7 linked regions of the Rattus norvegicus genome follow. The protein of the gene in region 5 interacts with the protein of the main gene of each other region in a biochemical or structural test. Links are inferred from orthologs where the notes say so. Each region holds a gene or a part of one and is shown on either strand. Other genes may lie near its edges.

Evidence for each region.
Region 1: the proteins of Ube2d3 (region 5) and Rnf14 form a complex in vitro, tested with the Homo sapiens proteins (2 studies listed by BioGRID, with this or other methods). The link is inferred for Rattus norvegicus from reciprocal best matches to the Homo sapiens genes UBE2D3 and RNF14.
Region 2: the proteins of Ube2d3 (region 5) and Rnf168 form a complex in vitro, tested with the Homo sapiens proteins (5 studies listed by BioGRID). The link is inferred for Rattus norvegicus from reciprocal best matches to the Homo sapiens genes UBE2D3 and RNF168.
Region 3: the proteins of Ube2d3 (region 5) and Trim63 form a complex in vitro, tested with the Homo sapiens proteins (5 studies listed by BioGRID). The link is inferred for Rattus norvegicus from reciprocal best matches to the Homo sapiens genes UBE2D3 and TRIM63.
Region 4: of the proteins of Ube2d3 (region 5) and Sqstm1, one has a biochemical effect on the other in vitro, tested with the Homo sapiens proteins (2 studies listed by BioGRID, with this or other methods). The link is inferred for Rattus norvegicus from reciprocal best matches to the Homo sapiens genes UBE2D3 and SQSTM1.
Region 6: the proteins of Ube2d3 (region 5) and Rnf216 form a complex in vitro, tested with the Homo sapiens proteins (2 studies listed by BioGRID). The link is inferred for Rattus norvegicus from reciprocal best matches to the Homo sapiens genes UBE2D3 and RNF216.
Region 7: the proteins of Ube2d3 (region 5) and Trim33 form a complex in vitro, tested with the Homo sapiens proteins (2 studies listed by BioGRID). The link is inferred for Rattus norvegicus from reciprocal best matches to the Homo sapiens genes UBE2D3 and TRIM33.

What each region holds. Positions count from the first base shown.
Region 1 is NC_086036.1:30,400,845-30,404,101, reverse strand, and holds part of Rnf14 (E3 ubiquitin-protein ligase RNF14), read right to left. Parts: intron 2,417-3,257; coding exon 2,286-2,416; intron 1-2,285. UniProt on the Homo sapiens protein: E3 ubiquitin-protein ligase that plays a key role in the RNF14-RNF25 translation quality control pathway, a pathway that takes place when a ribosome has stalled during translation, and which promotes ubiquitination and degradation of translation factors on stalled ribosomes.
Region 2 is NC_086029.1:82,010,507-82,014,764, forward strand, and holds the start of Rnf168 (E3 ubiquitin-protein ligase RNF168), read right to left. Parts: upstream 2,801-4,258; 5' UTR 2,786-2,800; coding exon 2,479-2,785; intron 1-2,478. UniProt on the Homo sapiens protein: E3 ubiquitin-protein ligase required for accumulation of repair proteins to sites of DNA damage. Acts with UBE2N/UBC13 to amplify the RNF8-dependent histone ubiquitination.
Region 3 is NC_086023.1:151,815,996-151,820,035, reverse strand, and holds the start of Trim63 (E3 ubiquitin-protein ligase TRIM63), read right to left. Parts: upstream 2,801-4,040; 5' UTR 2,711-2,800; coding exon 2,552-2,710; intron 1,546-2,551; coding exon 1,373-1,545; intron 1-1,372. UniProt on the Homo sapiens protein: E3 ubiquitin ligase. Mediates the ubiquitination and subsequent proteasomal degradation of CKM, GMEB1 and HIBADH.
Region 4 is NC_086028.1:35,034,951-35,039,170, forward strand, and holds the start of Sqstm1 (sequestosome-1), read right to left. Parts: upstream 2,801-4,220; 5' UTR 2,767-2,800; coding exon 2,568-2,766; intron 610-2,567; coding exon 514-609; intron 273-513; coding exon 46-272; intron 1-45. UniProt on the Homo sapiens protein: Molecular adapter required for selective macroautophagy (aggrephagy) by acting as a bridge between polyubiquitinated proteins and autophagosomes.
Region 5 is NC_086020.1:226,542,063-226,545,993, forward strand, and holds the start of Ube2d3 (ubiquitin-conjugating enzyme E2 D3), read left to right. Parts: upstream 1-1,131; 5' UTR 1,132-1,404; coding exon 1,405-1,428; intron 1,429-3,931. UniProt on the Homo sapiens protein: Accepts ubiquitin from the E1 complex and catalyzes its covalent attachment to other proteins. In vitro catalyzes 'Lys-11'-, as well as 'Lys-48'-linked polyubiquitination.
Region 6 is NC_086030.1:16,567,100-16,571,172, reverse strand, and holds the start of Rnf216 (E3 ubiquitin-protein ligase RNF216), read right to left. Parts: upstream 2,801-4,073; 5' UTR 2,707-2,800; exon of another isoform or gene 2,642-2,706; intron 2,287-2,641; exon of another isoform or gene 2,147-2,286; intron 1-2,146.
Region 7 is NC_086020.1:193,549,327-193,552,826, reverse strand, and holds part of Trim33 (E3 ubiquitin-protein ligase TRIM33), read right to left. Parts: intron 3,429-3,500; coding exon 3,311-3,428; intron 1,315-3,310; coding exon 1,040-1,314; intron 264-1,039; coding exon 99-263; intron 1-98. UniProt on the Homo sapiens protein: Acts as an E3 ubiquitin-protein ligase. Promotes SMAD4 ubiquitination, nuclear exclusion and degradation via the ubiquitin proteasome pathway. According to PubMed:16751102, does not promote a decrease in the level of endogenous SMAD4.

The sequences.
Region 1 (3,257 bases), on a different chromosome or scaffold from region 5:
GACGGCCCAGTGGTTAAGAGCACTGACTGCTCTTCCAGAGGTCCTGAGTTCAAATCCCAGAAACCACATGGTGGCTCACAACCATCTGTAATGGGATCTGATGCCCTCTTCTGGTGTGTCTGAAGACAGCTACAGTGTACTCCTATACATAAAGTAAAGAAATGATTTAAAAAAAGAAAAAAGAGAAAAAAGAAAAAGAAAAACAACCAGACTGAAGCTGACTAGATCCTGGCTCCTTAACTGACGGTAATAGATATTCTGAATGCTAAGAGGAAGGTGTGTTGTTTTTAAGATTAGTATGTGCTGTGCAGTTGGAGGTGCACATGTAGAGGTCAGAGGATATTTAAACTACCTTCATATTGGTTCTAGGGCTCTAACTCAGGTCATCAGATCATGAGCAGCAAGTGCCTTTACCTGCTGAGCCATCTTGCTATCCCGATGAATGGAAGTCTTAAATATGTTTTGATATATATCAAAACAAGATAGTATATATCACACTTAGTTATTTATTTTGAGAAAAGGTCTCTCTGGTTGGGGATTTAGCTCAGTGGTAGAGCGCTTGCCTAGCAAGCGGAAGGCCCTGGGTTCGGTCCCCAGCTCCGAAAAAAAAAAAAAAAAAAGAAAAAAGAAAAAAGAAAAGAGAAAAGGTCTCTCTATGACGCACTGGCTGTCCTGGAACTCACTATGTAGACCAGGCCAGCTTCAAACTCAGAGATCCTCCTCCTGTTTCTGCCTCCTGAAAGTTACAATTAAAGGTGGGCACCACCATGCCTGGCCACCATTCACTTTTAAAGTACTATCATTGCATAGAAACATTCTGGTTTTGGGGAGCTGGGTGTGGGAAGGGGATTAAACTCAAAGCTCCTACACATGCTAAGCATTGAACTACACCCTCAGTCTTACAGGCATTTTCTAAATTTAGGATATATAATGAAGTAACAGAGTGGAAGCATTGCCATAATTCACCCTCAAGCAGTTTAGCAATGCCTCTCTGAGACAGTAGAGAGAGTAAGTCAGTGTACTGTTCACTGTTTACTCACACCAGTCACAGCTATAGTCTCTCAACCTTTCTACACGCTAGAAAACTTTTACCATAAAAGGAGAACTAAGCTCAGTGTGGAGTAAAGGCAGGCAGATCTCTGAGTTCGAGGCTAGCCTGGACTACGGAATAAGTTTCAGGACACATGAGGCTACACTGAGAAACCTTGTCTTGAAAAACAAGCAAACAAAAAACAAACAAACAAAAAAAGGAGTACTGAGACTTCCAAGCCAGGGCGAGCCCCAGGGCCCATCAGACAGAGGTGCCTGCCCTGAGTTAGATTCCCAGGGGAAGGTGGCAGAAGCAGGTAACAAGTACTGAAAGCTGTCCTGACCTCACACGTGCACCAACACCAACACGCCAACACCCAAACCCTCCCACACAAATAATTTAAAACAGTTTTAAAATCCTAGACCAGCCTATATCACATATGCTTTGTCATTAAAAATGACGGGTAGGTGTAGGGGTGGAGAGATGGTACAACTGTTAAGAGCACAGCTACTCTTCCAGAAGTCCTGGGTTTGATTCCTAGCACTACGTAAATAGTGGCTTCACAACTATCTTTAACTTCAGTACCAAGGGACACAACATGCTTTTCCATACTCTGTGAGCACCAGGCATACATGTAATATAAGACGCACATGCAAGCAAAACACCCATAAACATATCCCCTCCACCCTCCCAGGCAAGGTTCCTCTTTACAGCCTGGCTGTCTTGGAACTCACTCTATAGACCCGGTTAGCCTTGAATTCAGCAATCTGCCTGCTTTGGCCTTTCCAAGTACTGGGATTAAAGGAGTGTCCACTACTGCCCAGCTAAGTATAATTTTTTTTAAGGTGAGGATAAAAAGTAAAAAATAAAATTTTACCCATTTTCAAGAAGACTTAAAAATCACATGTGGGAAAAAAGTTCTCCAAGTCTAGCTACTTTAGAAAAAAAAAAAAAAAAACTGGTATTCAGAAAATAAACCAGCCTGCATACTGGCATCAAAACATTCCGGATGGGCTAGGAAGATGGTTCAGTGGTCAAGAATGCTGTTCATTCATGAGGACAGGAGTTCGGATCCCAGTTCTCATGTGACAAAACAGGCATCCTGCAAACAATCTGTACTTCTAGCTTCAACTCTGACAGAAACCCTCTTGGGTCTCTGCCTATCCAGGGTACACCTGTGCATATACATGTCCTCATGCAGGCACACCTGAGTTTTTTTACCTGCTAAGTCTTAAGGAACCCTATGTGTACAAACCTGTTAAAGCATGGAGAATCAGGATCAGTGAAATGTTTGTAAGGGTTTGCTCTTGAGAGAGAGCCCATGCAAACCCAGCAGAAATACTGCATACAGCCAGTACAGGTCATCTTGTTGCAGCCGTCTAATTTCTGGTGGGAAGGAGAGACAAGAACAGTATCATGGTGGTAAAAGCAGAATACATGTGCCGGAAAACACACAGTGCACTTCCCCTGGTTTTTTGTCCTTTCTCAAGGAGGACTGCTGCACAGGCAACAGTGACAGCCACTTACGCTTACAACTTTGCATTGCAGGTAAAATACAGAAATATCGAGCAGGTCTTCCTATAACTACATACTTGGCAAAATCTCTCTTGTAAATAGACACAAGTGACACATAGGAGAGGAACACATAAGCAGATTAATTAAAACGTTACTTTATTTTCAGCACCAGAGATAGACACATGCCAGGCAAGCATTCTACCATAAGCTATATCCCTTTCCTTTTCTACTATTCACTTTTAAGACTGGGTCTAAGTTGTTCACTGGCAATCCTCTTGCTTCAGCTTCCCAAATGGCTGGGACTACAGGCTGGGCCTGAGTTCTAAATTTCTACACCAATCAAAACTAGTGGCATAAGCAGAGGCATATTTTATACTACCACGGGGCTCAAGCATGTCAGAAGTGACAAACATGACACAGCTCTCCTTAATGACGCTCTAAGGAATTACGAATTACCATCAGTTTCAGTAAAAACAATGTACACGATGAGAAAAATAAAACCAAATGGAAGGCCATGTTTTACAGATTTTAAAATCTCATGAATCTATGTTGGCCTTGAACTTGCTACACAGCTACAGGTGACTTTAAACCTCTGATTTTCCTGCCCCCACCTCCCAAATCAAGGACTCTTGGTATCCATTCTACAAAGAGTGAAGGGGACTATTTGACTTTTGTCATGTATGTCTAGTTTGTTGTACTGGAGACCAAACCC
Region 2 (4,258 bases), on a different chromosome or scaffold from region 5:
GCACGTAGCACTCGCTTCTAGTCCTAGCTTGAGGACGAAGCAGGCAGACTGTTGTGAGTTCAGGCTAGGCTGGCCTGCATCTCTTTATCTCTTCAATTTAGACTCTGTCAATTTTCTTCCTGTTAGCCACTACTGCTATGACAAAACACCTCACATAACAACACCAGAGGGGAAAGGTTTAGTTTGGCTCATTCGGAAATTTACATTTATGGTTTTATGCAATTGTGAAAAGCCTTGGTAGAGCAGAGTTGCCCACTTCAACTGCAGTCAAGAAGCAAAGAAACACAGAGAGGAACCAGAACAACGTATACCTGTCAAAGGCATTTTCAGTGACCAGTGTTTCCTCCAGACAGGCCTCGCCTCCTAACAGCCCAGTTGGGATGAACTTATCAGTGGATTGATCCACTAATGAAATTAATGCTTTCCTAAGTAATGACAGCTTGAACAAAGCCTTCATCCCACACTACAATTTTTTAAAAATATTATTTAATGGATATGAGTACACCAGACACACCAGAATAGGGTATTACAGATGGTTGTGAGCCACCATGTGGTTGCTGGGAATTGAACTCAAGACCTCTGGAAGAGCAGTCAGTGCTCTTAACCACTGAGCCATTTCTCCAGCCCCCAGGAATCTTTTTTTGAGACAGGATCTTATTGTGTAGTCTTGGCTAAACTCCTGCTGAGCTTTTTTAAGTGCGTTTTTTCCCTGGTCAGTTATTTTTAAGAGGGTCTCACAAATTATCCCTGCCAGGCCTAGAATTTAGTGATCCTCTTGCTTCTATTTAGGCATTACTTTCTTTTTTCTTTTTTTTCTTTTTTTCTTTTTTCTTTTTTTTTTTTCGGAGCTGGGGACCGAACCCAGGGCCTTCCGCTTGCTAGGCAAGCGCTCTACCGCTGAGCTAAATCTCCAACCCCTAGGCATTACTTTCTTAACAAATATTTTCTTCCACTTTGTAGGCTCTTTTGACCTCTTGATATCTAATTTATCAATTGAACTTCTTTTTTTTTCTTTTCTTTTTTTTTGGAGCTGGGGACTGAACCCAGGGCCCACTGAGCTAAATCCCCAACCCTTGAACTTCTTTTAAGGGTAAGAATTTTCTGAGAGTTGGCTCAGTGGTTAAGGATGCCTACTCTTCTTTCAGGGTAAGCAGGTTTGGTTGGTTCCTAGTACTCCCATAGCAGCCTATAACGGTCTGCCCCTCAGTTCTAGGGATCTCGTGCCTCTTCTGCACTGCATGCACATGGTGCACATACACTCGCATACTCAATTAAATACATACTTAAAAGAGATCTCGGGGTTGGGGATTTAGCTCAGTGGTAGAGCGCTTGCCTAGGAAGCGCAAGGCCCTGGGTTCGGTCCCCAGCTCCAAAAGAAAAGAACCAAAAAAAAAAAAAAAAAAAAAAAAAAGAGATCTCAAGTTTTTCCTTCATGAGTATCTGCAGTTACTTAATTCTGCTACCTCCACAGATAGTTATTCTTAGGAAGGTAATAGTGATATTCTAAAGACGGGGGCTATTTAGTCATGGTTCATTGGCAGGCCACATCTGCCCTTACATTTCCTTTTCATAGTTTTATGGAAGCACAGGCTCTGCCTTCAATTACAAAGGGCAATGTAAATTAATGTATTGTCTACGGTGGCAGATATCACGGTCCTCAGTAGACTATACAGTCCACAAAATACTATTCTGCCCTTTACAGAAAAGGTTGCCAACCCTCACTAATTCTAAGAATAAAGCGCAGGTGTGTTCTCGAGTTGCTACAACTCCACTATGTGTGAGGCTAAGGCTAGCCCAAGCTACATAGTAATAAAACCTTGTCTCAAAACATGTCTAAAAAATGTTACCCAAAAAAAAAAAAAAAAAAAGCCCTAAATTCACAGTAGATGAACACAAGTTGACCATTATTACATGTGATAAAGTCTGTCCTTGACTTTAACGTCTGTGTGGGCAAGGCCTACAAAACCACAAATCCTCACGATTCAGACTACTTAGCCTTCTTTTTCTTTTCTTTTCTTTTTTTAATTAGAAAATGATGATTCGGGCTGGGGAGGTGGCTCAGTGGTTAAGAGCACTGACTGCTCTTCCAGAGGTCCTGAGTTCAATTCCCAGCAACCACATGGTGGCTCACAGCTACGGTATACTCATACACATTAAATAAATAATATTAAAAAAAGGCGGGGGGGGGGGGGTTTGGGGATTTAGCTCAGTGGTAGAGCGCTTGCCTAGCAAGCACAAGGCCCTAGGTTCGAAAAAAAGAAAGAAAGAAAAAAAAAAAAAAAAGAAAAGATGATGGTTCTAGCAGTGCGGTGGGGTCGAGTACATTTAATCCCATCACGCAGGAGGCAGACATAGGTAGATTTCTGAGTTCGGGGCTAGCTAGGGCTACACTGAGGAACCCTGTCTCGAGAAACAAAAATGGTTCCCTTTCTAAAAGATTTTGGATTTTACCCAATAAACATGTTTAATCTTACTTACCGATTTCCTTTGATTCTTGTCCAGAGATTCTAAGCTTGCATTCCTTTGCATAGTGCTTTTGAATAATCTCCCACAGGTCTGTATTGACCAGAGAATTTCTTCGGGTATGGTACCGAGTCCACGAAGAGACCCGGCGGCGACAGAAGGGACAGCATAAATTGGCCTTTTCAACAGTCGATTGGAAGCATGGGTTACAGAGCGTGTGGTTGCAAGGTAGGGTAACAGGCTCTACGAGGATTTCCATGCAGATCCCGCACTGACATTCCGCTAAGGAAGGGATGGAGTTTTTAGGTGCAGCCATCTTCATATGCTAATGTGGCCTACCCAACGTCAACAGCTGAAAGGAACAAAAGTCGTCTTTCGGCTAAGCACATAAAGTATGAAGAAAATCAGGAGCCTTCTGGCGTTTATTCTCACATACAGCAGCGTACTGAAATCCAGACGGCCTGAGTTTCCACAGGCCCGAGGCGAACAGGAGCTGTGATGTCAGGTAAACAGTTATGCCCTGCGTCCAGCAAGGGAATGAAAGAACGTTCCTCCCGGAGCGCGGAGGCCTCGGGGCGGAGAGGGGTTCTAGCTCCCCGCGCCACAGAAGGTCGCATCCAGCTCCCCTTCTTACTTAGTGGAGGACCCGCCTCTTTGCGCGAGGCCGCCGAGCCGGCCAGCACCGGAAGCCCGGAGACCGCCGCTCCAAGATCACCCGGAAACCGGGCTCGGGCCGCCGCTGGACTTCCGTGTCGCAGTTGCAGTGGAGGCAGCCCTCCAGTGCCCACGCTCCAGCTTCTGGCCGCCTCGCGGTTCCCCCGGGTCTCAAGACCCAGCGGCTCAGACTCGCTGTCAAGCCAGTCGATCTATTAGGCGCGGCCCGAGTAGGTACACAGGCGCTACAAATGTCACAACTCCCGCCAAAACTGTCTTCCTCCAAGGAACCGCCCATTTGGGCGGGACTTCCGGGAGCTGCTGTGCACTCGCGCTTGGCCTGCCAGTAGCAACTCCTCCCGCCTTTGGTGGTTCAGCCACTGTAGGTTGTAGAAATTTTGTTATTCGCTGGCTAAAAAGTAACTCTCTAAACCAAGATACAAACAATAATTTTTGTAATTATTCTTTTAGTATTTTTCGGGCTACCCTTCTGTTTTTCTCCCAACCAAGCTTTCTAAAGTTCTTAGTGCTAAAAGAAGAAATTGCAACAAATTTACTGTAAAGATTTTTGTTAGCATTTATTTGCAACACTAGCATTTTATAGAATGTGCTTTATGACAAGCAGATATTGGCTTTATAGACATGTGACGTTCAAGGAAAACAGCAACAAAAAGTTACACTGGAGGCTTCAAAGAATCTTGGAGGGTGGGGGGTAGGGGAGGGCTTTGGAGAAATGGCTCAATGGTTAAGGTCACCTACTGTTCTTCCAGAGGTCCTGAGTTCAAATCCCAGCAACCATATGGTGGCTCATAACCATCTGTAATGAGATCTAATGTCCTCTTCTGGTGTGTCTGAAGATAGCTACAGTGTACTTATATATAATAAATAAATCTTTAAAAAAAAGAATACTTGTTAAAGGTTAAAGTGGGGGTGATAATATCTTTATGGTACTGGCTAAAGCTCAGCAGTTTAGAGATTGGCTGTTATTGCTTCCCTCCTGGTTTTGGGGGTGTTTAGCTTTGGTCCTATACCCCAGACTTTAACATGAGTAAATGCCTATTGGGTTTGGTATGTTGAGTCTGAAGAGCTCAACAAAGAGACACATTTCTGTAATCTCAGCATTTGGGAAAGTAGCCACTAA
Region 3 (4,040 bases), on a different chromosome or scaffold from region 5:
GAACCTTGAAACTGAGATCCTCCTGCCTCAGACTCCCTAGTAGCTGGGACCACAGGGCCTACGCCACCGTGCCTGGGGCTCAACAACGTCCATTTGGAGTGCTGTGTTCTAGCAACAAGAGACACGATGTAACAAAGAGGTATATGGTAGTCACTGTGAAGGCTGGGGAAAGCAGTTGAGAACTTACTATTCCTGCAAAGGACCTGGGTTTGGTTCCCAGCACCCACATGGCAGCTCGTAGCTGTCTGTAACCCCAGTTCTGGTTTCAGGGCGATTGGGAGAGCTGAATCTTGTCCACTTGATTCATCTGTAATGAACTAAAATCCAAGTGGCTGGGTTTGCTTGTTGGTTTGTTTGTTTGTTGAGGCAGGGTTTCTTCTCTTTGTAGCCCTGGCTGTCCTAGAACTCGCTCTGTAGACCAGGCTGGCTTCAAATTCACTGAGATCCATCTGCCTCTGTCTCCTGAGTGCTGGGATTAAAGGTGTACACCACCACTGCTTAGCCAGGGAGTTTTTCCTTAATTAAATCATTTGAAGTGGGAAGCCCCACTTTTAATCTAGATCCACTTCTAATCTGGGCCACACCTTGTCCTGGCAGCCCATAGAGAGGACATGGAGGAAGGGGGCTGTCTATTGGCCTGCTGCTCTCGCTCTCAATAGCAAGTCTGTTCCTTCACTGGCGTTAGAGCCTACTCTCTGGGGGACTCTGGCACATAATGAAGACCAGCTGAGACATCCAACCTTGTGGATTGCACAGCCACTGGATTTTTGGACCTTCTGTTGGTAGATAGCCATTATGGACTAGCTGGACCACACACAGCCTGTAAGCCATTCCAATCGATCATATATATTAATATATGTTATTTTTCTATAGTGAACCCTGACTAATACAGGGAGCCAGTACCCTCTTCTGGTATTCACAGACACACACACACACACACACACACACACACACACACACCCTTCTTTGTAAGCAAAATAAAAGAAATAAAATTTTAAAGCTGAGATTGAAAAACAATAGGATCTCAAGTTGATACCAACCTTCACTATATGTCAAGGCTCCATCTTAAAACTGCAAGCTCTGGGGATGTAGTTCAGTGGAAGAGCCCTAGCCTAATGAGGTCCAATCTCTACCATGAGCGCAAACACACACACACACACACACACACACACACACGCCCCTGCACCCTAGTCTCAGGACTCTTTTTCTAGCTCCCCGTATACGCAAAACTCAAGAGCTGAGGTTTGGTCTGAGGAAGAGGTTGTTGGCTCTGCCTGCTGATGAATGTGGCTCGCTGAGGTGGGAGGGGTCTGGGGAGAGGCGCGGTCAGGAGGCGTGGTCAGGAGGCGGGGCATTTCAGCTGCACACTGACCTGGAGCATTCCTGCTTGTAGATGTCGATGATGTTCTCCACCAGCAGGTTCCTCTGCAGACCGTACACCCCATGCCGGTCCATGATCACTTCATGGCGGCACGAGGGGCAGCGGAAACGACCTCCAGACATGGACACCGAGCCACCGCGGTTGGTCCAGTAGGGATTGGCAGCCTGCAGAAAAGGCGGGCGTTCCCATCCTCTCCGGTCTCAGTTCTCCTTGCCCCAGTTGCCCCAAACACACTTGCCAAACCAAAGGGCACCCACCGGCTCCTGGCCTTGGCCCAGCCCAACCATGTGCTGAAGCATCGTGGTTGAAGCACTCAAACAGGCAAGAGGTTCAGTACCAGCCAACATGAGTTCAAGTCGTGTGACTTCAGACGCGCAACTATAATCTCGCTATGCCTCAGTTTACCACGGAGACCACAGGTCTTTCTTAGAATTAGAGCCAGCTCCTAGGATATTACCTTAAAGATAACTGTAGGGAAATTTTTTTGTTTTGTTTTGTTTTTAAGGCAGGATCTTGTTATCTCAAACTAATCAGGTAGCACAGACTGACCCTAAACTCTTAGCAATCCTCCTGCCTCAGGTTCCTGAACGTGAGATTATTGGAATAGGCAACTAGACCTGAGTTTGGAAGAGCATTTCCTGTCGTCCTTCTGGACGCTCTCCCCAGTGCGTTGCCTCAACTGTGCCCTTTCCCTCCTCAGAAGATGGGGCCCCTTCGCCCGCTGTTGGAGGACGCAGCCTCTGAGATGCTGCTGAGGTTACGTTCCTCTTGCCACCCGCCTCCCAAAGTCTGGGCCCCCTGCCACCTGGAGCTGGCTCCGGCCCCAGGGCCTGGTTTCTCTCTCCTCTCTACCCACCTCCTCCTCTTATCACTTGAGGTATTTGACTCTTGACTGGGGAATCAACAGCAAGCTCTCCCAGCAGAGGAGAGAGCTGTGGCCAGGGTGGGGACTAGATGAGTACACTGCGGAAGGACTGGAGTAGCTCCCCCTTTCCCCTTAGCCCCTTCTCTACCTCCAGCCCTAGTCCTTCCCAGGGGTCTCTGAATGGCTTCTTAATGGAGCAAGTGTTCTAGGCTGAGAGGGGAAGGGCCTCTGAGAAGCCGCGGGAGGTCTGGGGGGGGGCGCGGGGTGGGGGGGGATTCCAGGTCCCGGCCCTGCCTAGCGCTGACCTGGAAGATGTCGTTGGCACACTTCCGGCAGAGGTTGTGCTGGCAGGGCAGGATGACCACAGGCTTGGTAAACATCTCAAGGCAGATGGGGCAGATGAGCTGCTTCTCCAGGTTCTCCATAGCATTTCCGTCCGGAATCAAGCCAGATTTATAATCCATATTGCTTCGAAACTGCGACTGTCTCTTCCACCTGCGTCACACCGAGTGGAAGGGATCCCACTCGGATCCTCTTTGTCTTCCTCCCCGAACACCCGGCTTCTGTCTTGGTCTGAGGCCCTTCTGATATTTATAGCTGCCCTTCAGTCACATGAGCCCCAGGAGGGGACCAGCTGAGCATTCCGAAGCCAAGCGGCTGGCAGGGCTTGAGTTTCCTCCAGGCCTCAAAGATTTGGCCCTCTCAGATCACATGCAGGGGTGAGCAATCGCTGTTGCCCTGCAATGGGGGTCGTAAACAAGAACAGATTGTTCAGAGCCAGGTTCAGGGGAGGGCCAGGTACCCTAGTTTCATGAAGAAGTTGGTCTCCACCCTCCTGCCCCTCCAGTGAATTGGGAGTAAGGGAGTGGAACTTGGGTGGGGGGTGGGGTTGGCATACACAAGATTAACAGCCAGCGCCCCTGTACCAACCTAAGTCTGTTCCCCTTCTGGATTCTGAACAGCTCTAAGGCCTTGGGATAGCCCTTCTGTGAAAGGGCTTTCTCCTGCCCCAGACTCCAGTCAAGCATTTCACTAGAGTCTTTTGAGACTCCCATGTTGGGCAGCCCACCCTGACAGCCCTCAGCCAATCATCACACTACATGCTGACAAGGGTTTCATGAGGGCCAGCTCGATGGCTCAGTGGGTAAAGGTGCTTGCCGCCAAGGCTGACAACTTGCCTTCCCAGGTTCCTGTGTTTTCCCTGAACTGCCATGCTCACAGCCCAGAGACAAACAGGAACTTCCTGTGCTGCCTCAGAACCTGCCCTGACACCTGTGGATACAGGAGGCTCCACTGGACTCTTTACATATGTGTTCATTCTTGGGTCCCAGGAAGAACTTCCGGGGCATTGGAATATGGGGTTCTCTGGAGACAGGAGTGAACAGAGTTCTAAGAGCGGGTGATCTGCAGCCTATATTCCCAGCTCCTCAGGAGGCTGAGGCAGGAGGATCCAAAGTTTAAGGCCATGAGCTACATAGTGATATCATGTCTTGGAATAAAAGGTAAAGCAGGGCATGATGGGTAAATGCCAATAACCCCAGTACTTAGAAGGCAGAGGCAGGAGTTCAAAGCAAGCCTGGACTATATGAGACCCTATCACAAAATAACAAAATAATGTCACTACACACCCCCAGTCACCACCACGACCCCTCACCACAAACCCCAAAAGAACAGGTATTAAAATATGGGGTTTTTTGTTTTGGTTTGGTTTTTAGGTTTTAAGAGACAGAGTTGCTCGTGTGGTCCTGGCTATCATGGAACGTGCTTTGTAAACATCTGCCCCCCCACCCCCAA
Region 4 (4,220 bases), on a different chromosome or scaffold from region 5:
CCACCCTGTCCGACACCGCCCCAGGACTGCAGAGAACCAGCTCACATCAGAGAGGTGGCCAAAGGGGTTGGGAAAGATGAGCTTGCTGTGCTCCCTGTGCAGGCCCTTCCCCTCGCAGACGCTGCACAGGTCGTAGTCGGGGCACACACTGCACTTATAGCGAGTTCCCACCACAGGCCCATTGCAACCATCACAAATCACGTTGGGGTGCACCATGCTTCGTGCCTCCTGAGCACATGGGGGGCGATGTTCCCGCCGGCACTCCTTCTTCTCTGCAGGGAGAGTCCAAGAGTCCAATTTAGTTGCAGGTAAACCACTTAGGAGGCCAAGAGGTACCAAGCCCTGCTCTGTTCAACACCCATGGCCCACACAGCAGGACCTTTGTACCTCTGACACCTCCCAACCCCCCTATATCCACCCCAAGGCATCAGAACTCATCTCTGTCCTAGAGACAACTCAGACCCCTGAGCCTTAGAGGAAGTCCGATGGGAAGTACCTGGATGCAGTCTTTACCTTTAATGTAGATGCGGAAGATGTCATCTTTCACATAGGACATGGCCATTGTCAGTTCCTCATCACTGGAGAAGGCGACCAAGTCCCCATCCTCATCTAGATTGTTTAGGAAACAACATATCAGAGCCAGGGACACAGCTCATTGGTGGAGCGTGCAGAAGACTTAGGTGCCATTCCCAGAACTAGAAGCCGAAAGGGCAGCACAGGTACCCAGCATCTGCTGGATGCCCACTGCTATGTACAGGGAGCCCAATGGTAAGGGACATCTACAGAGGCTCTAGACGCAATCTGAGTGCTGGAGCAAGCAGCCAGATGGCCACTCATTCTGATATGGCGTGAGTACATGTTCTAACCCAAGTCCTAGATCCGGTACATGCACAAGGCAGAGCATATGTCATGTGTGTAAGGGTCCAGCTTCCTGCCACAAACCACTGGGCCATTTGTGCCCTCAGGCCACACGTAAGTAGGCCAGGTCCATTTTCACCTGGGAGATTCCAGCCAGTACCCTGTCCTGATGGTCCAGCCCTTCAAAGGCCTCAGGCTTCAGAAGGAAAGGAGGTAAGCCCATCTGTCCCCTCCCTTCAACTACGTGACCAGAAACCACTGTGCATTCAGACGCTGTCTAAGTTGTTCTGAGGTTGAGGTTGCTCTGTTGGTTTTGTTTTTGTCAATTCTAGGTTTTCTGCGCCCTGCCTGGCCTGAGACTGCTTAGAACAGGACAGCCTCCAACTTGTGTAGGTGAGCCTCCTTAGTGCTGGGATCACAAACATATGCAACCAAGCTGCCAAGTGGTTTGGGTTTTTTTGGGTTTTTTTTCTTTTTTGCCTTTTGATATTTACTTTTACATATGTATGTACGCACTTGAACACACAGACACACACACACACATACACACATGCACACTTATGTGTATGCATGTGCCACGAAGGCCATAAGAGGGTGTGGGATCCCCAGGAGCTGCAGTTGATATGAGCGCTAGGAACAGAACTTGGGTCCTCTGGAAGAGCAGCAAAGGCTTTAACCACTGAGTCATTTCTCAAACCCATCTGCTTTCATTTTTACATTAGCACACAGGTACTGGGAGCGCAGCCATATATTTCTATGTCAGTACAAACAGTCTTCAACCACCTCATACAGGACAAACCACACATCTGCAGGCTAGGATATATATATATATATACATATATGTGTGTGTGTGTGTGTGTGTGTGTGTGTGTATCAGGCTAGGCTATACACACACACACGTAAAATTTATAAAAAAAAAAAAGATTCTAAACCGAATGTGATAATAGTTATATAACTCACTTTTTAAAAAATGCAAGGAGTTTGGGGGGCGGGGTGGTAGCTCAGTCAGTCGAGAGCCTAACATACATGAGGCCCTAGCACAAAGATGACTCGGAAGGACATTAAGACCTGGGTGAATTGTACTGGACCTAGGTTAAAACTCACTTACACTGAACATTTTTTGTCCAGAATAATCCCTATGATTCCTGCACTGGAAAGCTGAGACAAGAGGATTGAAGTGAGGCCAGCCTAAACCACTCGTAAATTCAAGGCGAATCAGGCTACGTGGCTTTATCTCAGAAAAGAGACAGACTGATCAACCAACCTGGCCTACCCACAGTCCTCCATAAAGAGATCTCAATCTTATCCCCTCCCAGGGGGAGGGCCTTGTCCACTAGTCTCTTGTCAACAACTTCTAGCTCCACCCCATGCAGCCATCAACCACTGCAACGCAAGAGACGGAGCTAGTTCCGGGGTCCCCTACCTCCCTTCCCACGGGCTGCCCCACCCCGCCCCCGCCGCTTATTTACCCGCGTCACTGCTCTCCACCCCTCCTCCACATCTGCCCGGTCCCAGCTCTTCCGGGCCTTTAACTGAACCCATCACCTGATGATACGAGGAGCAAGCGAACCGCGGGATGTCAGCTGTAACCTGAGCGGCCGCCTGACCACCCTGTCCCCGCGGGCAGCCAGAGGACACGCCATCGCGTCCTCGCCCAGACCTGATACTCCGCGGCGGGGGAGGATGGCTTCCCCGCCCCGAGCCCTTACCGCGGTAGTGCGCCTGAAAGCCTCCAGGCCGCAGCGCGGGGAACAGCACAGCCACCCGGCTCAGCAGCCTCTCGCAGGGCCCCGGGCCAGCCGCGGCTTCCGCCTCCGGCTCCGGGCTGAAGCAGAAGCTGAAGCGGCGGATCTCGCGGGCCGCCTCCTCCTTGCCCAGTAGATAGGCCTTCACCGTGAGCGAAGCCATAACCGCAGACTAGGTACGGAGGAAACAGCTGGGCAGCGGCGGCTCCGAGAGCCCAGCTTTTATAGGATACGGGGGGAGCCCCGCCTCGTGGGGGGCGGAACCTCTCTGAGCTCCGCCCCTCCCCGCTGTCCGGGCGGCCGCTCGAGGGCCCTTGATAGGACCCCTGACAGGTATGGGGGCGAGACGCCCCCACCGCCTCCTCTTTTTCTTTCCCTCCGAATGCATGGGTGACCCCAAGAGACCAGCCTCAGTCTCAGTTCGATGGGAAAAGGGCCGGTAAGTATCCGAGCCTAGGCTCCTCCCAGGTTTGGGCCTGCTTATGACTCAGCAGTGTAGTCCCCAAGCCAAGGGGGATGGATGCCCCAGCACAGAGGCTCAGACGACACAGATGCCTACTGTCAGGTAGCCATTCCTTGGCCAAACAAGCTGTTTCACGGGATACTGTTCCAACCCTCCCAAACTTAGTGTCCCCCGTAGTAGCCCTCCACCCTACTCTCTCTTCAGGCATCCACCATGACCAGCCCCTCACTGAATAAAGGGACATCATCCATATGTTAGGCCTGATCCAATTTGACAAAGACTGGATGTTGGACTAGCACTGGTGACTTCTCACAAACCCACCCTGTAGGAGGGGTAGCCAGGGCTCCAGAAACTGCAATAGTCACCACTACTAAGACTGAGATTCCTCACAACAACCCACATAATACACACACACACACACACACACACACACACACACACACCACAGCACACAGGCTCTAAGGGCGGAGGGGAAGGAGCATGTATCTCAGGCCTTAGTGGCTTCAAAGAGCACAAAGGAATCAGACCACTTGCCCTCCAACTAGGAACTAAAATACAGGCTTTAGCCAGTCCTGTGACACAGACTTGTTATCCCAGCTGTTTGAGATGCTGAGGCAAGAGAATACCAAGTTCAGGGTCTGCCTGAGCAGCTTGGTGAAGCTGTTTCAAACTAGAAAGTGATCTGAGTACTTGGGAGGCCAGAGGTTCCGGAGTTCAAAGCCAGCCTTGGCTACAAGAAGCCTCTCAAAAAAAGGGGGGGGGGGGGCAAAATAAAGAGGCTGTCTATGCAGTTTAGTTAGGATACAACTCATGGGGATTTAGCTTAGCATGGATATACTCAGGGAGATTTAGCTTAGTAGGGATACAGGTCATGGGAATTTAGCTTAGCATGGATATACCCAGGGGGATTTTAGCTTAGTAGGGACACAGTTCATGAGGATTTAGCTTAGCATGGATATACCCAGGGGGACACCACTAATGGGGATTTGGTGCATAAGGATTTGGTGCTCAGTGACAGAGTACCTGCCTGGTATATGTCACATCTTAGGTTCAACCCTCAGCACGAAGGCCAAAACCAGGAAATGCTGCTTTCTGTGGCAAAAGTGACCTGTTAGCTAGCATGATGACACACATCTGTAATCCCAGCACTTGGG
Region 5 (3,931 bases):
CCTCCATCCCAAGTGAGGAAACGGGGGGCCACAGTAGGGAGGGGCGTGGGGCCTCAACCGCGCAGCTGCCGCTTCCATTACCTTCCTCCTAAGGTCTCCTTCCGGTTCTCGATGCTTCTCTGAGTCTAAGGGTTTCCGCCACTCGTCTACCCTCCCCCTCAGCCCATGACCCGCCTCCGTCCCCCGCCCTCCCGGTCCGACCTCCGATCGGTTTAGTAAGAAGGTGCTGTTCGGACAGGGAGACGGCAAGAGGGTGGCGCGTCCACTCGGCCTGGACGAGGGAGGCAAACCGCTCCCCTTCAACCCTCAGCTCGCCCTGCGCTCGCGACGGCGGCGTTGGCGGACGGATACGCGGCGGTGAATAGGCGGGGGGAGAGGGGGAGGGGCGGAGCGTGGCAGCTGGCAGTAGTTCCGTCAGAGCGGACATCTTGTGGCTGTGCCGTGCGCGTGAGCCCCGTAGGGCCGGGGAGGCACCAGCTGCCGCGCGGGGAGGAGGCCGAGGCCGCAGCTCGAGGGAGGCCCCGGCCCTCTGTACGCGTGGGTGTGGACAGCTCGGGAAAGGGGAGGGAGACGGGCCGGGGCCGGCGCGGCGCCCCGGGCTGTGGGCGGCCCGAGTGGGCAGCCCTCGGGGCTGGGTGGGGTAGGATGGGAAGGCCGGCGGAGCCCGGGCCCGGCTGAAGGGGGAGGGGGCATGGGCGCGTCCTCGCGCCGGAGCTCCGCGGCCGCCGGGCGCGTGGAGAGGTGGCTGGGCGCGCGCACGCAGGAGCGCGCCGTGAGGCGGAGAGTACGGTGGTGTCAGGGGCGACCCAGAACAGCTCTAGCTGTGGGGACAACAGCACACGCGAGTCTAATTGCCTTCTGCTGGCTCGCCGACCCTCGAAGCAGAAACCGAAAGAAGCCCGGCGTCGGTCCGGAGCCTCCCGCTCCCCTCCCCCTTGCCTTTCTTTGCCCTAGTGACGCCGGCCTAGCGCCGACTAGGCCCGGGCTCCTCCTCTGCCGGGCTCTGGACCCTGCCCCGCACCCACCCCTTTCTCCTCCGCCTCTTCCTCTCCCACCCGGGGCTCTTCCTTTCAAGAGGCCGGGAAGTTAAACTTGTAACCACCTCTCGGCTCTTCCCGTCACCCTCGCCCTCTCTGGGCGAAGCGCGGATATAAGTAGCTGGTGGCTCTGCCACCCCACCCTGCCCGGATCGCGACGGTTTTCAGGGTTCTGGAATCAGCAGGGTTCCTCTGAGGCCTTGGCGAGTGGCTGATCTGCTCCGTTTTTGCAAAAGGCGCCTGTGTCTGGCAGAGCCGGTGTGAGAAGAAGAGAGAATCCTTCCCCGCCGCCGGGATAATCAAGAGTTTTGGCCGGACCTTTGAGTACACATCGGGATAGTGAGAAGCCCGGCGAAAAGCACAGACTATGGCGCTGAAACGGATTAATAAGGTAAGTTGTTGGGACTAAATGTTGCGGATGGGGTCGCGGGAAGAAAGGCTTGGTGCCCAGAGAAAAGCCTGGAGAGTTGGATTCTGAAAATACCTTACATGGGGTAAGAGAAGGCAGGGGCACTTTGAAATGAGCTGTAAGATAGGGAACGGAATGGTTTTGGCAAGCGAAATGTTTGTTTCACTAGAATCTGCTAGTATGGGTGAGGGAGCGTGGCATTTATTTAGTCTCCTCAGTTTTTTGCCTAAGAGTCAGGTTTGGGGAGTAGAATTATGTACAGGCCTCGGCAGATGCCATGGCACTGCTTCCTATTCTAGGTTCTTCAAAACATTTTAGCTATTAAGGCTATAGGCATTCTAAAGAAAGGAATGTAACAGTTGAAAGACGTTTTGTTCCAAACTTGACTGAGAGTCGGGGTATGACAAACATACCTCAGTTTGCTAAAATGCGGTGACGAAGTCTGTTCAGAAGCTTAACCAAATCTGGGCAGTTACACAAGAGTATGTGGGGTTGGGAGGAGGTGGACCGACACTGTTGCCACTTCCTGTGTTGTGTGGTCGCTGCTTTCACCCAAAGCTATGTATCTGAGGCACCAGGAACCTATATGTAAAAGCCTTCTGAAAGATTCCGGGGTTGGGGGTGTTTGACAGTGCAGGGAAACTGGATGGAGGACTGCTTTGCTTAGAACCCCCTTCCTTAAGGAGGCTTGTTTGAGCAATTCACTAGAATTTGATAAGTCGTTGCTTTAATTTGGAAAGAGCTACGATTTTTCCAGAAATACAGTGTAAGTGGAGCCACTTCTCTGGTGGTTTTTGTCTCGTTTTCTTGCTCTAACTTCTATCCCGCATTTTAAGATGGCGGCTGCTTTAACTGGCTCAGGCTCTTCCCGGCATCTCCTTTTCTAACTATAAGATAATGGTCTCTGTTAAGCGTTAGTTTTTTTAATCCGGTTGTAGGGAGCTCTCAGAGCCTCTGCTCCCAAGACTAAACCTAAATTCAAACTCTCAGACTAAGTTTCTGTGTGTGTGTGTGTGTGTGTGTGTGTGTGTGTGTGTGTGTGTGTGTGTATTTTGTATTTGGTTCTTTCACAATCGAGAGGGTGGAGTATTTACAGCCAACTTGAAAAAAAATGTGGAGTAAACTCAGTCCTAATAGAAAAGACAAAATGGGAAGGTTCGGTATTAGAAACTTTGACTTAGCACAGTTTTTAAAGAGTTCTGTGGAAAGGCGAGGACTTGGATTGACTATAGGTCTAATACTACTGTATTTGTAGTTATTTTATATTATATATATATATGTGTGCGTGTGTGTATATATATATATATATACATATATATATCTTGATCAGCTTGATTGGAAAAAGCTGTAGTTTCTGAAAAGTTAATTCTTACCTGAATATATTGTTGTTGAATCTTGAATTCTTAGGACATCCTGGTAATCTTTGTGGTTTTATGCAAAACACTTAACTGAACTGTTTGTATTCTTGATGATAATGGAAAGAGAAAGAAAACCTTAGAATTCAAGACTTCAAATAGATAATAGATAACATTAAAATTACCACTTAGTGTGACAATTTTGAGGGTGAACCTCACATTAGAGATGCATTATTGTGCTTTATAGCATAATTAATACAGAAACTATATCATTCAGTGTTAATCAAATTTCAGATCCATAGTGTAAAACGAACATTTTAAAGGGAGGTCTTACTGATTTTTTTTCTTTTTACAGGTGATACTCAGCTGTTTTGGCAACATTTTAATGACTTAAAAGCTCTAGCGAGGCAGTAATGGTTAAGTGTAAACATTTGTAGTAAAAAACATGAGATAGAATCAGACTCTAAGCAAGTTTATCAATTTGCCTAATCTGTACTAGGAATTTTTCTAGCTACTGGGATGGCAAGAGAAAACATATTTTTGCAAGTTTAAAGAATTATGTATGGATATTAAGAGGTAAATTTTTTATATTCGAAAACTGTTTATATGCCAAATGGCTGATGCTTCTACCTGTAGGGTATTCCAGCATATCATGGTTTTTCCTTCAGATACTGTCAGAACCATGAAGCAACTTAAAAAATGGCACCCAGATGCAGGAATAGTTTGTGAAAGTACAGAAGGAGGATCCTTTTCTTCTTAAGGCAGTATTGTCATGAGGTTTTTTTGTATTGTTCCCTGTTTAGAATTTATTCTTCTGGTTCCCCCTAAACAAGTGTTAACAAGCCATTACTATTTTTATTAAAATGCAACTGAGCTTTAGTGATAAATGGGTATAAGTTGATACTTTTATCTTTTTTTTTCTTTTGTGTGTTTGCTTGACTGTTTCTTAGCTCACCAAACAACCATACGTGTATTCTTTTGCTGTGTTTGTAATTATTTGGACTAAATTGTAGTATGGTGCTGTTATTAAATGGGTATTTTAGCAGCTGAATTCCAAATCTGTGTTTTTGGAACTTTAAGAAAATTTACTGCTACAAAGCAGAATGACTGTTACATAATTGGGGGACTTT
Region 6 (4,073 bases), on a different chromosome or scaffold from region 5:
ATGGGCTGGACCTAACCCCTCCCTATATGGAGCAGGTGTGCAGCTTGGTCTTCATGGAAGTCTCTCAAAACTGGACTGGGGGCTTACCCTGACACTATGGCCTCCATGTGGATACGGCTTCCCTAACTGGGCTGTCTTGTCTGGCCTCAGTGAGAGAGGATACATCTAGTCCTGCAGTGACTTGAAGTGCCAAGGTGGGTTTCTTGGGAGGAACCTCCCCCTTCTTGGACTTCGAGGGGGTGAGATCAGGATGTAAAGGGAATAAATAAATTAATGGGAAAATAATCTAGCCATTGGATAGCTCACACCCATGCTCATGTAAATGGCCCTGGCTAAACTCAGTGGATTACAAAAAAAAAACCCAACCAAACAAACAAACATCATGACTGTGGGAATGGAAATTGTGTGTGTGTGTGTGTGTGTGTGTGTGTGTGTGTGTGTGTGTGTTTAATGGGATAAGAGTCATTAATACATTATACATGAAACTGTCAAAGAATAAATGTAATTTAAAACTTTTAAATTGTGTAACTGAGTGACCTTTGTATCAAGTTATTTTTCAGCATCTCCCTTCCCCCTGACCCACAACAAAAGCTATTAGAGAACCTACGTTATTGACAAGTCTAAGGAGAGTTATATCTAGCACTTAGCACCAAGTTGTGTGCAGCTAAGGCTGCTGCATGAGCTCAATAGGTTAAGGGCACTTGCTGCAAACCTGACAGACAGCATGAGTGGCACTGTCTGGACCCGTACAGCAGAAGAAAACCAACTTCCAAAAGCCGTCCTCTGACCACAAGTGCCCTTAAGTGTCCATATACACAGGGAATGTTTCTTTAATCGTTTATTTTTACTTATGCACATTGGTGCTTTATCTGCATGTGTGTCTGTATAAGGGTGTAGGATCCCTGGAACCAGAATTACAGTTAGTTGTAAGCTGCCATGTGGGTGTTGGGAATTGAACCTAAGTCCTCTGGAAGAACAGCCCCTGCTCAGGAGGCAGAGGCAGGAGTACAAAACCAGTCTGGTCTACAAAGGGAGTCAGCCAAGGCTCTGTTACAGAGAAACCCTACCTCAAACAAACAAACAAACAGCTTTGTGCAGATAAAATCTGGAGAATAGTAAACACAGAAACCATTACCTCACACAGCAAATTTCATAAACTTTCAATCTCCCCGAGCCACAACTTTATTAGATTTCTCAAGAACTTTTCACTAGCTGCTCTTGTCCTTTTTAGATAAAAGTTCACGCTAATGCAACAGGTTCACAGGTATCCAAATCCAGGCTCAAGAGCCTCAGCCATTTCCTCAAGTTCACCACCCTTCCCTAGACAGTTTATTGGGATACAAACAGAATGCAAGGCTTGGAAATCTCATAATTCGGATAAGCTAAACAAAGGTCATAAAAATACTGTCCCTCCCTCCCTCCAGGCAAGGACAAGCCCCTTCTCTGTATATGTTAAGATAACAAGCAGGTGGAGCTCTCATAAAGTCACCATCCATGGTGGGGTTGAAACTTGGCCCTCAAGCAGATGTTTCGGAGCACACAGGCTCCAATACATAATCCTTCACCCCTGCACTGTACAAAAACCCAATAAATCCACTAGAGTCACCCAAACAACCAAACCAAACCAAACCAAACCAAAATCCAGCAAGGGCGTGTGTGGAGCTCGGGGTAGAGCAGCTGTTGGGTAGGAGAAAAACGTTGAGCAAGGTGACACAGGCCTTCAATCCCTACAATCAGGAGGCAGAAGCAAGCGGACATCTGAGCTCCAGGCTAGCAAGGGTTACAGTTAGAATCTATCTTAAAATAACAATAACAACATAATGGTAGGACAAGGTGACCTACACTGGGCCAGAGGCATGCAAATTCCTGAGTCCCTTGGGGCCAGCCTTATCTACTTTTCAGGTTGCAGGCTAACCTCCGATATGCAGTAAAATTCTTTAACAAAAAAAAAAAAAAAAGGAAAAGAAAAGAAAGGAAGAAACGAAACCAAGACAAACGCCAGCAGAGATGGCTTCCAAGACAGTCAACACAATGGAGGAGAGGGTCCCAGGTCATTGCACCCCTTAGAAAGCCAGGGAGTTTGGGATGACCGATGAGCCCCACAAGGGGCCGCCTCGTCCACTCCAGCGTGGGTCTTGCCGCTCACCCAAGGTGCCACGCGCCACGGGAGCGCTCTCTCCACCGCGCACCAGGACGCCCGACTGCAGGAGTTTCGAGTCCCTTTTGCTCCGGAGCGCTGATTGGGATGACAGGCGTCAACTTGGACTCCAAGGGGCCCAAACTGGCCCGGGCTGGAGTTCAAAGTCAACAGTTCGCCGCCTCTTCCGCTTCTCCAGGCCGCGGTGGGGAGTGCGGCCACAGCGAGCCGCCAGCGAACCGTCTCTCAGTGGCTCGACGCCCCCCGCGCAGCAGGCCGGCCCGAGAAACTTCCTTAAGTGGCGGGAGGGGAGCCGGCAGGCCAGCGGTCGTCTGCGTCGCTCCTCTCCCGACACCCCCTGCGCGGACCCCCGGACCCCCGGGGCTCGCGAACGCGTCCCCCTCAGCCCCCGCCCCCACCCCAGTGGCGCCCCGGCGGGAGGCCACTCTCCTCGCTCGACCCGCAGCCCCCGGGAGACGACGCGCGCGCCCGCCCATCACGTACTCGCCACGCAGCTAGTCCAGCTCCGCGAGCGGGGCTCGACGCCCGGGAGTTCAATCTCAAGTCACCTGAAGCATCCGCTCGAAAAGCTTCCCCGCTGCTACAGCCGCCACTGCCAATGCTGTCGTCGCCGCCGCCGCTGCCGCCGAGGCCGCTACTGCGTTCCTTCCGGCCTTGCTTCAGCGTCTACCTCGCGCCTGCGCGCAGCGCCCCCTCCCGACTAATGACAGGAAGAACCATAGAGGCACGCGGAGAGCCGGGGAGGAGGGACCTGGAGAGCGAGACCATAGAGATGGATGCCTAGCTGGCTTCCATCTAGGCTCCACAGCTGCAGAGCCTTGACTCCCACTTGCGGTGGGAAGACAAAAGGGGTCACTGTATCCTCTCCAGGCTGCAAGGCCAGCTAGCGATGAAATCAACTGATAGACCACTTGTCTATCTCCTCTTGAGGTGGTGTTGTGTACCAGGTGAGACAGGTAAAATGACCCAACTCTCCTCCAAGGGTATTTGGTGAGGAATAAAGCATTCTTCAATCCAATTCAAGCTCTGTTAAATCAAGGCGGGAGAGCTGGCTCAGTGGAGCCACTCTTATTTAAGAACTGTTGTGTATGTTTGTGTGTATGTGTCTATGGTGTGTGTGTGTATGAACGTTGTATGTGTGTTATGAGTGTGCTCGTGTGTGTATATGTGTATATGGTATGTGTGTGTGTACTTTGTGTCAGTGCTTGTGTGTATATGAGTGTGTATGCTTTGTGTATCTGTCTATGTTGATGTGTTTTGGTATATGTGTGTGTGACCCAAATTTAGTTCATGGGACCCTCACTGCAGCTTACAATGTTCCGTAATTTCATTCTAGAAGATCCTCTATGATCTCCTCTGTGGGCACTGAGCATGCAAATTGTGCACCGCTATATATGCAGGCAAAACACTCATACACATAAAATCAAAGTAAAAAATAGAAATTAATTTTTTTTTTAGTCAGGCAGTGGTGGCCCACTACTTTAATCCCAGCACTTGGGAGGCAGAGGCACTTGTAAGCTCAGAATAGCCAGGGATACACAGAGAAATCCTGTCTCAAAAAAATTTTTTTAAATAAAAAACCCTTAAGGCTCTGTGTGTGTGTGTGTGTGTGTGTGTGTGTATGTGTGTGTATGCGCGCGCTTTCATGCATACACACTCATGTGTATGGTTGTGTATGTATGTATGTGTATGTATGATGAATCTGTGTGGTCTGTCTGGGCTTCAGTATGTTGTATATGTATGAGTGTGTGTGCTTGTGTATATATGTGTATATGTTGTATATGTTTGTGTGTGTTTATGGTGTGAGTGTATGTTGTATATGTATGAGTGTGTGGTATGCTTCTGTGTGTGAGTGTGTATATGGTATGTGTGTGTAGTCTGCTTGTGTGTATGTATATATGGTGTGTGTGTGTAT
Region 7 (3,500 bases), about 33 Mb from region 5:
TAAATATCAAAGACCCTCATGAACCATTCTAATTATGAACACATGATCGCTTTAGTTTTAAAATCGTGTGACTCTTACAAATGTAACTCTAGGCATACTTGTCTTTGGAGATGTGGCTGCATCATGGAGTACTGAGGGCCACTGTGCCTGGGTATCCCGGGTATTCTGGCAGCATTCTGCGCCAGTCTCATCTGATGGGCCTGAAATGCTCCACAGTTCATGTTGCCTCTTTGCATTGTTTGCACACTGATCAATCTTGGAGGCTGTAAAAAGGAGAACGTTTAATTCATATAATATTTCCTTTTTTCTTTGTTTGTTTGTTTGTTTGTTTTGAGACAGGCTTTCTCTTTGTAGCTGTCCTGGAACTCACTATGTAGACCAGGCTATTCTCAAGCTCACAGATCCACTTGCCTTTGCTTCCCATGTTCTGGGATTAAAGGAAATGTACCAACCATACCCAGCAGACATATTTCTACAAATTTATTGCTCAATCATAAAATGCTAAAGTAATAGTAATTCAGAACAGAATGGTGTAAGTATTAAGTATTATTAAGGGTACAGTATTAAGCCATATTCGTTTTTTCAACCCCAATTCTTACAGAACTGATAATTGCTATAAAAAGTCACTCCAAATTTTTTCTAGCTACCCTTTCTGGGAGGGAGAGGGAGGAAGGGATGAAATGGGGGTCAACATTAACTCATCTCATTGTGGAATTAACAACATTGATTGTGAAGCAGGACATAAACACCAAAGGAAAGAATAATTGCAGCAAATGCCTAATGCATCAGAGCTTAGAAACAATCTTGTTCTTTGGCTCACAACTATATGTGTTATGTGTGGGCATGTATTATGGGAAGGGGCAAAATGTCATTGCTTCCCATGATCTTACTTATTAACACCTTTATTATTCAAATTTTCTCCATATTTCTGACCTTTGAACTTCACCTAGTAACTCATATTGTGTAATTCATGAGCACAGAATGATGTGTAGATTTGTGATCTTAATTTCTATCATTAATGGAAGGGCACAGTGCTTACCTGTTGTTGTAACATCTGTGGGGCTGCCTGCCTAGGATGCTGCTGTGTTGTTGTTGTTGTTGTTGGTACAGGAGCTGGTGGCTGTTGCAATCTCATCTGTTGTAACTGCTGATGTTTCTGTGCATACACTTGTTGCTGCATGTGCTGGAGTCGAAGCTGTGCTAAATTAATCTGTCCAGGGGTTTTACTAATGTGGTTTGTCCCTGGAGGAACTTGCCCAACTACAACATTAGGAGTATAACCAGGAGCTGGTTTACTCTCTATTACTAGATTACCTGAGGGTTTAAAAAAATAAGAAGGATTTACAAATAATCAACTTAATTGCCCACTTCAAAGATGAATCACTATCTTTTCCTCCTTCTGACAATTAGCACCTCAGAGCATCCAACAGCACATCACAAATGAGAGCTAGGTTTAATGATGCTAATTAGAAACGCAACAGATTCCAAAGCCCCTTGAACCCTCCCACAAATAAGCTGATCATTCACAATACACTATCTGTTCTTAGTTAGACCTGTGTGGGTGTGATGTATGTGTGCATTTGCTTTTTTTTGGAGGGGCTTGGATGGTTGTGGGCATGCAGAACAGTGCCCATGTGGAGGTCAGAGGACAACCTTTGGATGTCAGTCCTCACCTTTCCAGCTAGTTTGAGGCACGGTGTCTTTGCTGCTGCATAACCCAGGCTAGCTGGCTGGAGACTGAAAGAGATATTATTAGAGGAAGGATCCAGTCAGTCTGAACCAATTCTTCCATGACAAAGACTCCAGGATATATTCAGGATGGCTGTTACTGATTCTATCTGCTTTCTTTTTCCCTTTCTTCCTTCCATCGTTCCTTCCTTCCGTTTCTTTCTTTCTAAATGTGTACAGGTGTTTTGACTATATATGTCTGTGCACCAATATATTCCTGGTTCTCAGAAGAGATCAGAAGAGGCTACCAGATCCCTTGGAATTGGAGTTACAGATAATTGTGAGCTGTCATGGGTGCTGAGTAATAAATCTGGGTCCTCTAAAGGGTAGGCAGTACTTTTAGCCACTGAGCCATCTCTCCATCTGCTTTCAAACTGCCAATGTTAAGGGTGAAGTAATACCCAGCTACCAAATAATTTCCTATGGAAATTCTGAATACTTTAAAACACTTATACCTTTAAACTGGCCCTTCCTTTTTATCTGGTCATGTCCCTTTCTTTTTACACAGTCATTTTCTTTGAGGTAATATTGGCAGGCCACAAAGAAAAAATCCTGTTGCAAATAATGATTTTTATAAAAAACTTTTTGGAAATGAAGTACAAAATGAAATGCACACACACACACACACACACACACTCTCTCTCTCTCTCTCTCTCTCTCTCTCTCTCTCTCTTACATTCTCTACCAACACCACCCCTCATCTAGTAAGCCAAACAACAGTGATTTTCCAGTGCTACATCTAAAGTCAAAATTGAGTATCTTTTTTCTATTTATCCAAAGAATGTTATTTTTAAACAGTAAAATTCAAATCTCAAGGGCATGATTACCTTCAATGTGAAGGCCAATGGATGGCAGATTTCATTCTGAGTCATTTTACTTAAGAGACAGGGTCTTAAACTGACAGGCTCGAGCAGCACTGCCTCAATCTCCTTGTAGTAGCTAAAGTACAAAGTCGCTTGCTTGGCTTTTTGTTTACCTCTACCACCCTCAGCCATGGTCGTTAGGTCAGTGATATGGAGAGACAAAAGCAAAGTCTATTTCTTTATCAAGTGAAAAGAACGGCTTTTGTCTAACATTCCTTAGAATGTGGCTATAACACCTCAGTGAACCCAAGTTCCTTCTCGACTCAACCACTTGGTATAATTAAACTATGGAGCATCTAAGTAACTAGTCAGAGAATCATCATTACTAAGTCAGTATTAATTCTGAAAAAGAAGGTAGAAATGGACCACAAGGAAAAGCACTCTACAAGAGTGAGGAGTAAGTAGAGAGCATTGTTTAACATGCTGGAACACAGGGTTCAAGCCCTAGCACCAAGACCTAAAGAAACAGCCTAGACATAGTTTCCAATGCCTAACACGTTTCTTAAATCATTCACATCTTTTTTTTTTTTTTTCTCCCCCGGAGCTGAGGACCGAACCCAGGGCCTTGCACTTGCTAGGCAAGCGCTCTACCACTGAGCTAAATCCCCAACCCCAAATCATTCACATCTTAAAGTTTAAAAACTGTATCAAGAATCTGCTAAAATGGTTTCTCCTCTCAGCTTTATAGTTCAAATAATACTCACAAAATGATTTCTCACCTAAATTCACGACATTTTTGGCCCAGAATGTGGGGTCACAGTGGAAACGAATTGCTCCATTGGCAGCAGGGACAGGATCACATCGTGCTTTCAAAATATGACGTAACTGAAAAGTAATCTTCAAGGGAAAAAATTTACAGTGGTATTAAAATTAAATGTTAGTTGAAGAAGCATACTAGAGATATTTTTA